Linked DNA regions of Canis lupus familiaris. The protein of the gene in region 1 interacts with the protein of each later gene in a pairwise test. Links are inferred from orthologs where the notes say so. Each region holds a gene or a part of one and is shown on either strand. Other genes may lie near its edges.

Region 1 (3,180 bases):
GTGCATGTATCCCTTTGAATTGGTGTTTTTGTATTTTGAAAGTAAATACCCAGTAGTGAAATTACTGGATTGTAGAGTAATTCTATTTTTAACTTTTTGAGGAAACTCCATACTGTTTTCCAGAATGGCTACACCAGTTTGCATTCCCACCAACAATGCAAGAGGGTTCCTTTGTCTCCACATCCTCATCAACACTTGTTTCTTGTATTTTTTATGTCAGCTGAGGTATGAGGTAAAATCTCATTGTAGTTTTGTTTTCCCCTGATGAGGAGTGATGTTGGGCATCTTCTCATGTATCTGTTGGCCATCTGATACTTCTTTGGAGAAATGTCTGTTCATGCCTTCTGCCCATTTTTTAATTGAATTATTTGTTTTTGGGTGTTGAGCTTTATAAATTAATTATAGATTTGGATACTAACCCTTTATACGATACGTCATTCGCACATTAAGTACTGTGAAGATGAAAACCTCACTATAAACCAATGATTAAGTGTTGATGTTCAAAAATCGCATATTCATAATAGTGTGCTCTTTGAATCAAACTGTTCATTAAAATGAATCCAACTATGATGTGAGGTATAGTCCCCATTTCAAACTGAGTTACTTACTGTGTATATCTAAGTAAGTCTAGAGCTCCCTGATATCAGCCATTCCTGGTTACATATTTGCAACAATAAATTTAAACGATCAGATGTTATATTTACAAATTGTAATGGTAAAAATGTGAATAGATCATACATATAGCTAGACATAAGTTAAATGTATTCCTCTTCCTGGATAGCTATCCCTATTATTCTAGTCTTTATTAACTAATAAGGACTTGCGGAGCCCTCAGGGTACACACAGTGCTATGCTGGCAAATAAAAGAAGTAAAAGACACTGTGTCTGCCCTTCAGTGCTTGCAGTTTCAAAATTATGGATAACTTATATTTTCTTATAAGTAAGAGGACAATAAAGGAATATCCTGTAGACAGAATCTATGGGTAAAGATCAGGTATTTACAACTTAAAAAAGAAAAGATGCTACTGGACTAGGGGAGTCAGGAAAGGCTTTATAATGCTTTATCAAGTCTGTGGTGGAGTCTTGGCATGTGTGTAGGATGCAACCTGGAAGAGAAAGGGGACTCTAATCCAAGACAAGAAGTGTGACACAATAAAACTGAGGACAAGCGTAAAGGAAGAAAAATATGTGTGGCACATTCAAGGGATATTGACTGTAGGTCTTGTCTCAGAGTTGAAGATTGATTTTAGTGACCACTTGGAAATGAATCCTCAGAGCTGAGGGACAAAATACCTTTGTGCTGAGCTAGAGAGTTTGAACTTCATCTCATACACTCTACTGACAGTAATCATTCTCTGATATATATATATATATTCTGCTTTTTGCCACAGCTGAATTCCATCATGATTAAAGAATGTATTTCATAAAATCTTATAAACTGAGATGCAAAAAGGAGAATGAAAAGACATTGGAAAGCTTTAGGGTCTCAGGAAAGAAAATTGCTTTAGGGCCTCAAAAGTCTGCTTATTTTCAGACATCACTTAGTTACCTCTTGGTTACCATTCTCTGAACTATGTTTTATTTCCAGTGTTTTTATATCTACTGAGGTTTTAAAAAAAAAACCCTCCCCCAAATGCTGTATTGCTAAACTATTTAGCCTTGGAACCAACACCCAATTCTTCCCATTCTCCCAAATCCGTAACTACATGGTTGTTAAATAACAAAAACTCCACTGAGTAAATTTTAAAGATCTAACTGGATTTATGAATTGATTCATAAATTGGGCAGCATCCCATCTAGGAAGTAGAGGGAGCTCTAAGGAGCTTATAGAAAAGGAGAGGTTTTTAAAGGCTGGACAAGGAAGTCACAAACAGAACAGAGAATTATTCCAGGTGAGGTCACCTTCCTTTGGGGAGAAGGGTCTTATTAGGTGATTACTTCATGTTTCTCTGGGAGATGGGGAGAGACCATGTGACAGAGTACCATATTGATGCTGACCAGAAGATTCCAGAGTGACCAGTTAAGACTATATTCCTGGGGGACATTGAAAGTGCAATTAGATTAGGTATAAAGCTCAGGTTTGGTGGTGTGGTCTAGCATAAGTGACTCTGTTTGGGGCCTGCAGTTTTCTTTTTCAGAAAGTCAAGGATAAGGGGGCAAGCACCTCAGAGCCTATCATTTATTATTCATTTTATCACCCTCAAGAATTTGGATGTATTAAACTGCTCTTGTCCTCCGATCCCAAAAAAACTTGGAGACAATTCCTTTAGGGGAAATATGAGTCTGGTTGTTTAGTTAAAAGCTAAAAATGCTACTTGATATTGGGTTCTTTGACTAGAAGAGTCCCCAGGGGTCACCATGCAGCTCTGGTCTCTCCCACAGGTGGCCCCAGTGATTAAAGCCCGAATGATGGAGTATGGGACCACAATGGTCAGCTATCAGCCCTTGGGAGACAAGGTCAATTTCTTCCGCATGGTTATCTCAAATCCCGCAGCAACTCACCAAGACATCGACTTCCTGATTGAAGAAATAGAACGCCTTGGACAAGATTTATAATAACATAGCTCACCAATCTGTTTCGATTCTCTAGGTAGACAATTCAGTTGTCACAAACTGTGTGAATGTATTTGTAGTTTGTTCCAAAGTAAATCTATTTCTATATTGTGGTGTCAAAGTAGAGTACAGTTTAAAAATCCAAAAAACATTGCACCTTTTAAAAATCCTTTCCTAAGTTTAGAATACCTCTCTAAAATTAGTGACAAGAGGCTGTGTTCTAATCGATAATGAAAAGCTTAAAATTGTTATAAATACTTCCCTTACTTTTAATATAGTATGCAAATCAAGCTTTATTTTCACTTCAGAGTAGTAGGATTGAATAGTGCCAAATTGCCCCTGAATCCTAAAAGGTTCTTTGGGGTGCAGTCAAAAGGAGAAAGTACATATAAAATGTATGTTGACAATAAAAACTCTTGCCTTTTTCATAGTATTAGAAAAAAATTTCTAATTTACCTATAGCAACATTTCAAATGTATTTAAATACATATAATTTTACAAAAGGAAAATATATATATTAAAAAGAAATCCTATTTTGTAACATATAGATTTTTATTTTATATGGGTTATACAAACTGCAGGGGCAGATATAAAAACTAAGCCAGATTTTTTTTTCTCTTTCTTTTA
Region 2 (4,294 bases), on another chromosome or scaffold:
TCCAAATTTCTTCTACTTCAGAGAGAATAACTTTCATGGTGTTTAAGCTGCTGTTATTTGGGGATTTTCCATTACACAGTCTGATTGTAAACTGACCTTTGAGTTATTCTGGATGGACTCTACCAGCAAAGACAGCTTCTTCTGCAGCTCCTGCAAGTCCTTTGAGGTACTCGGAGGATCCTCTTTTGCCATCCTGAAACCAATGCCCAGTCTCTTTAGAGATCAATTCTTCTATCAGTAAGCTGTCCCGGGCAGGGCACAGTTGAATCTCTCATGTCACCCAGTCTCTTGCTGTCACTGGTGAAACAAAAAGAATCTTGAACCATTAGTATAATATTCACCTAGCTAGTTCAACAAAAGCTTCTACTATCCTCACACATTGATGGTAGGTGTGCAGGTGAAGGGTAGCTTGGCAATATCAGAATTTCTAAGCACACATACCTTCAACAATGTATTTTTCAGTAATCTGAAGGAAATAATCAAATAGGTGTATCAAAACATACAAAAAGGATGTACAGTGCAATTCTATGTGTAATATATAATAAACAGCAAAACATTGGAAAGAAGCTGTGTATCAGTAGGAAATTGGTTAAATAATGATAAGTTCATAAGATGTATTACATAGTTGTTGATAATGTGGACATCTAGTTAGTGACATGAAAACACATTCATGATAAGTGAAAAAAATTTTTAAGATATCCTATATTGTTACATAAATATATGTATTTTATGTCTATATTCCATAGTAAAATAAAAGACCTAGAAGGATATAGATCATATAATACCTAAATGTTAATGGTATTATCTCTGGGGGCTTATTTTTTCAGTCTGACAAACTGCTACAAAGAATATAGAAGCAAGAAAGCTGAATACACTATTTCAAGCCCCTCATTGCCTCCCCCCACCCCCCACCAAAAACCTTTAACAGTGATGGTGGCCAACTTCTTTATTGACTACCCACACTAAACAGGTTGGCTTCCAACCTTATAGCACCATAAATCATTCTCTGTTGACTTGTAAGTGTCCTCTTAACAGGAGAGGTGTCTCAAGGGCAGACCTAGCCACAATTATACACTGTGACTCAACAGCCTTTAATTTCCAGGACTGTCCTAAGTCATGTGACTACAAAACCAATTTGTTTAAGATCTCTTTTTCAACCTTGTTGGATTTTAAATATCAACAAATATATCATTCTCATTTTTTATTTCCCAGAACTGTAGGGCTAGACACAATTTCACCCTTATAAATGACCTCCTTACTACTGATAGTAAAAAGAAAAAAAAGGGATGCCTGGGTGGCTCAGAGGTTGAGAACCTGCCTTCAGCCAAGCAAGTGATCCTGGGGTTCCAGGATCGAGTCCCATACCAGGCTCCCTGCATGGAGCCTGCTTCTACCCCCTCTGCCTGTGTCTCTGCCTCTTTCTGTCTCTCATGAATAAATAAAATCTTAAAAAAAAAAAAAAAGAAGAGCCTCAAGGATTCTGTTATAGTGATCAAAATTAACTAAGTGATGCTGACACCTGTTTACCATATTGACTTATACCACACGGTAATTATGTGAGTTAAGGGGAGAAAGTTACTTTACCAATACCTAGAGGGTCTAAAATGCAACTTAAAGTACGTTTTCGTCACTCCAGCTAGAGAGCCTTTCCTACAGCTCCGTTTGTGAAACAGGAAACCTTTGGATCTTTGAAGATCCAACTGGCACACATCTCGTATTTGGGATGTTCCCAGGACTCAGCTCTCCTACTCTCATCTCTGCAGCAGACAGAAACAAGCCCAGCTCCCATTACCGGTCTCCAGAGGTCTAGGGAACCCAAGGGCCACCCAGACCGGTTTGGGGAGTCCGATGGTAACGAGCATGGGTAGAATGTCATGGGCCACAGCCATCAAATACATCCACCTGGCTTCCAATCCCCAGCCACTCTACAGAGGGAACTCCCAGGCACTGAGAAGTCTCTGGAGCGGAGGGCAACCTGGGATCCCCAGCGCGGCTCACAAGTTCCTTGCCTTCTCCCGGGCCCTCCAGGCTGACCCAAAAGACCACTGGCCAATCCGACCCGCGGCTCTTGCATTCCAGCCCCTCCCAGAGTTAACGGCCAACCCCAGCGTTTCAGCTGGAAGGGAGAGGGGGTGCATCTCCGGTTGGGGGAAAGGAAAGCTGGGCGCCTCGGGCCGCCCCAGGCCGCCCCCTCCCCATCTGCTTACAGTCGGTCAACCCTCGAAGACGCTAGGTGGAGCAGGCGCCCAGCTTCTAGGGATCCTTGCGCAGAGGGGAAGAGAAAGAGAGGCAGGTGCAGACGGGGAGGGTCCGCACGCGAGAGAGCACAGAGGCTAAGAAAGGGGCGTTCACGGGGGAGTGGAGTACCCGGTCATTAATGTGGGGGAGAAGAATCCACCTTTGTTCCCTGGAGAGCCCCTCTCCGCGGTGTCGGTAGAGAAGAGAGACCTGCGGGAAGGAGGGCACCCATATTCATGAATCTCGGGGAGAGGGTTTGGAGACTCCCCCGCCAGGTTTCCCAAGAAGGGACAAGGTCTCGGGGGGTGGGGTGGGATGCGCTGGCAACCCTTTTACCAAATCTAGTGGTGGGTGTGAAGAAGTGCGTGTGTTCCCAGCCCGTCTTGGGGGCTCCGAAGGGTGAGACATTCCTTTTCACTAAACTGCGGACAGCGCAGGAGACCCTCTCAACCCATGCCCCCGAGCCGCTTCGTATGCCCCTCCCCGCGAGGTGACCTAGCCAGCCCGGGCACGTTGCACCCTAGCATCCGAGATGCGAATCTCACCGGTCCTGGCGGCCGCGCTGTCCAGCCAGGGTCTGCAGGCGGAGGCACAGAAGCGCGGTGGGGGGAGGAGGAAGAGGAGCAGGGAGAGACGTTAGAGGGAGGAACTCTAGTGCGCACAGGCGGGAGCTGGCGCCTGTTTCCTGCCCCACCCAGGCTGCCGCCGTCCTCCGCCCTCGCCCCGCCCCCTCACGTCCCTGGCCCCGCCCCTCCACGCCCTGACCACGCCCCCACCGCCCTGACCCCGCCCCCTCCAACGCTCTCGCCCTCCGGCCGCTCTCGCCCCGCCCCTTCCCCCGCCCCTCAGGGCTCGGCTCTCCCCGCCCACCTCCCGAGGAAGACCGCGAAGCTGCCGCGAGGCCTCCGGCCGCGAGCTCCACACAGCGCGCTCTCCGCCTCAGCATTTTACAACCACCCTGACAGGCCCTCAATAATATACAGCTGAGGAAAATGAGGCCTGCCCTACACTCTCGGCTTGGAGTGAGCGTGCACAGGCCACCGCCGAGACAGGTGCACTTGGCCTCTGAGCACGGCTTGCACAGCGTCTTAGGGCGTCCCCTGCCTAAATACCTACACCTGAACCACCTCTCCTGGAAGCAATCCTGGAGGCCAGGACATCCAGCGATGAGGTACGGCCTGACTGGCAAGTTTTAGCTACTACGACTCACGCAGGTGCCACGAACCAGCGAGAGCCATAAAGATGGGTTAGGTTATCATTTCCACGTTTTATAATTGAAAAAGTCTAAACCCAAGGCCCTTGGTTCCACGTCAGAGCCAGGCACATGTTCCCTGGCCCCAAATCCTGGCCCATAGAGTAGGGTTTCTCCAAGGGCAGCGCTATTGACATTTTGGGCAGGAAAATTTTGTACTGAGGGGGCATCCTTGTGCTGACTTTTTATCAGTGTCCCTGGCCTCGACCCACTAGATGCCAGTAGTAATCCCCTTCCTCCCACTTGTGACAACCAAAAAAATGTCCCCAAACATTGCCAAATATCCTGTGACAGGGCACAGTTTCTGTTAAGAACCACTGCCATAGAGGTACTGGTAAAGACCAGGGTCTGAGGGAGGGGGTTCCGACAGTCCTGGGCTCTCATCTCAGGGCTGGCTCTTACCGTGTGACCTTGGGTGAGTGACCTCTCTGGGCCTGGGCTTCATCTGTAAAATGACAGGCCTGAGCTTTGGCCTGCTACTGCAGAGTTCTCAGGCCTTATCCATCCAGGGACCTAGATGGACCTTCCTTTCCTCTGTGACCTGCAGCAATAGCAGCCTGGGAAACAGTCACAGGGTTTTAGTGAGGTCAGGTGCAAGAAGAGCTGTAAAGAAGTTAGTACCTATCTGGAGTATAGGAGGAACTCAAAAAGATTCGATGGTACAGTCTTCTACCAAATAGTATCTCTAGAAATAAACAGGCTGGTGGGTAAAGAAATAAACATGGGGGCAGTAATGATAAAAAGAAGCTACAGGATCCCATCTAACTTCACAACAGCCAAGAAAAGGGCAGCTAATGGTGGAAA

What was found.
Region 2: the proteins of GAD2 (region 1) and TMEM159 interact in binary tests that used the Homo sapiens proteins (3 or more experiments, as listed by UniProt). The two-hybrid records come from large-scale screens. The link is inferred for Canis lupus familiaris from reciprocal best matches to the Homo sapiens genes GAD2 and LDAF1.

Annotation. Positions count from the first base shown.
Region 1 is NC_049223.1:5,176,651-5,179,830, reverse strand, and holds the end of GAD2 (glutamate decarboxylase 2), read left to right. Parts: intron 1-2,382; coding exon 2,383-2,556; downstream 2,557-3,180. UniProt on the Homo sapiens protein: Catalyzes the production of GABA.
Region 2 is NC_049227.1:24,499,008-24,503,301, forward strand, and holds the start of TMEM159 (lipid droplet assembly factor 1), read right to left. Parts: upstream 2,956-4,294; 5' UTR 2,784-2,955; intron 2,449-2,783; 5' UTR 2,399-2,448; exon of another isoform or gene 2,368-2,398; intron 2,026-2,367; exon of another isoform or gene 1,903-2,025; intron 298-1,902; 5' UTR 193-297; coding exon 97-192; intron 1-96. UniProt on the Homo sapiens protein: Plays an important role in the formation of lipid droplets (LD) which are storage organelles at the center of lipid and energy homeostasis. In association with BSCL2/seipin, defines the sites of LD formation in the endoplasmic reticulum.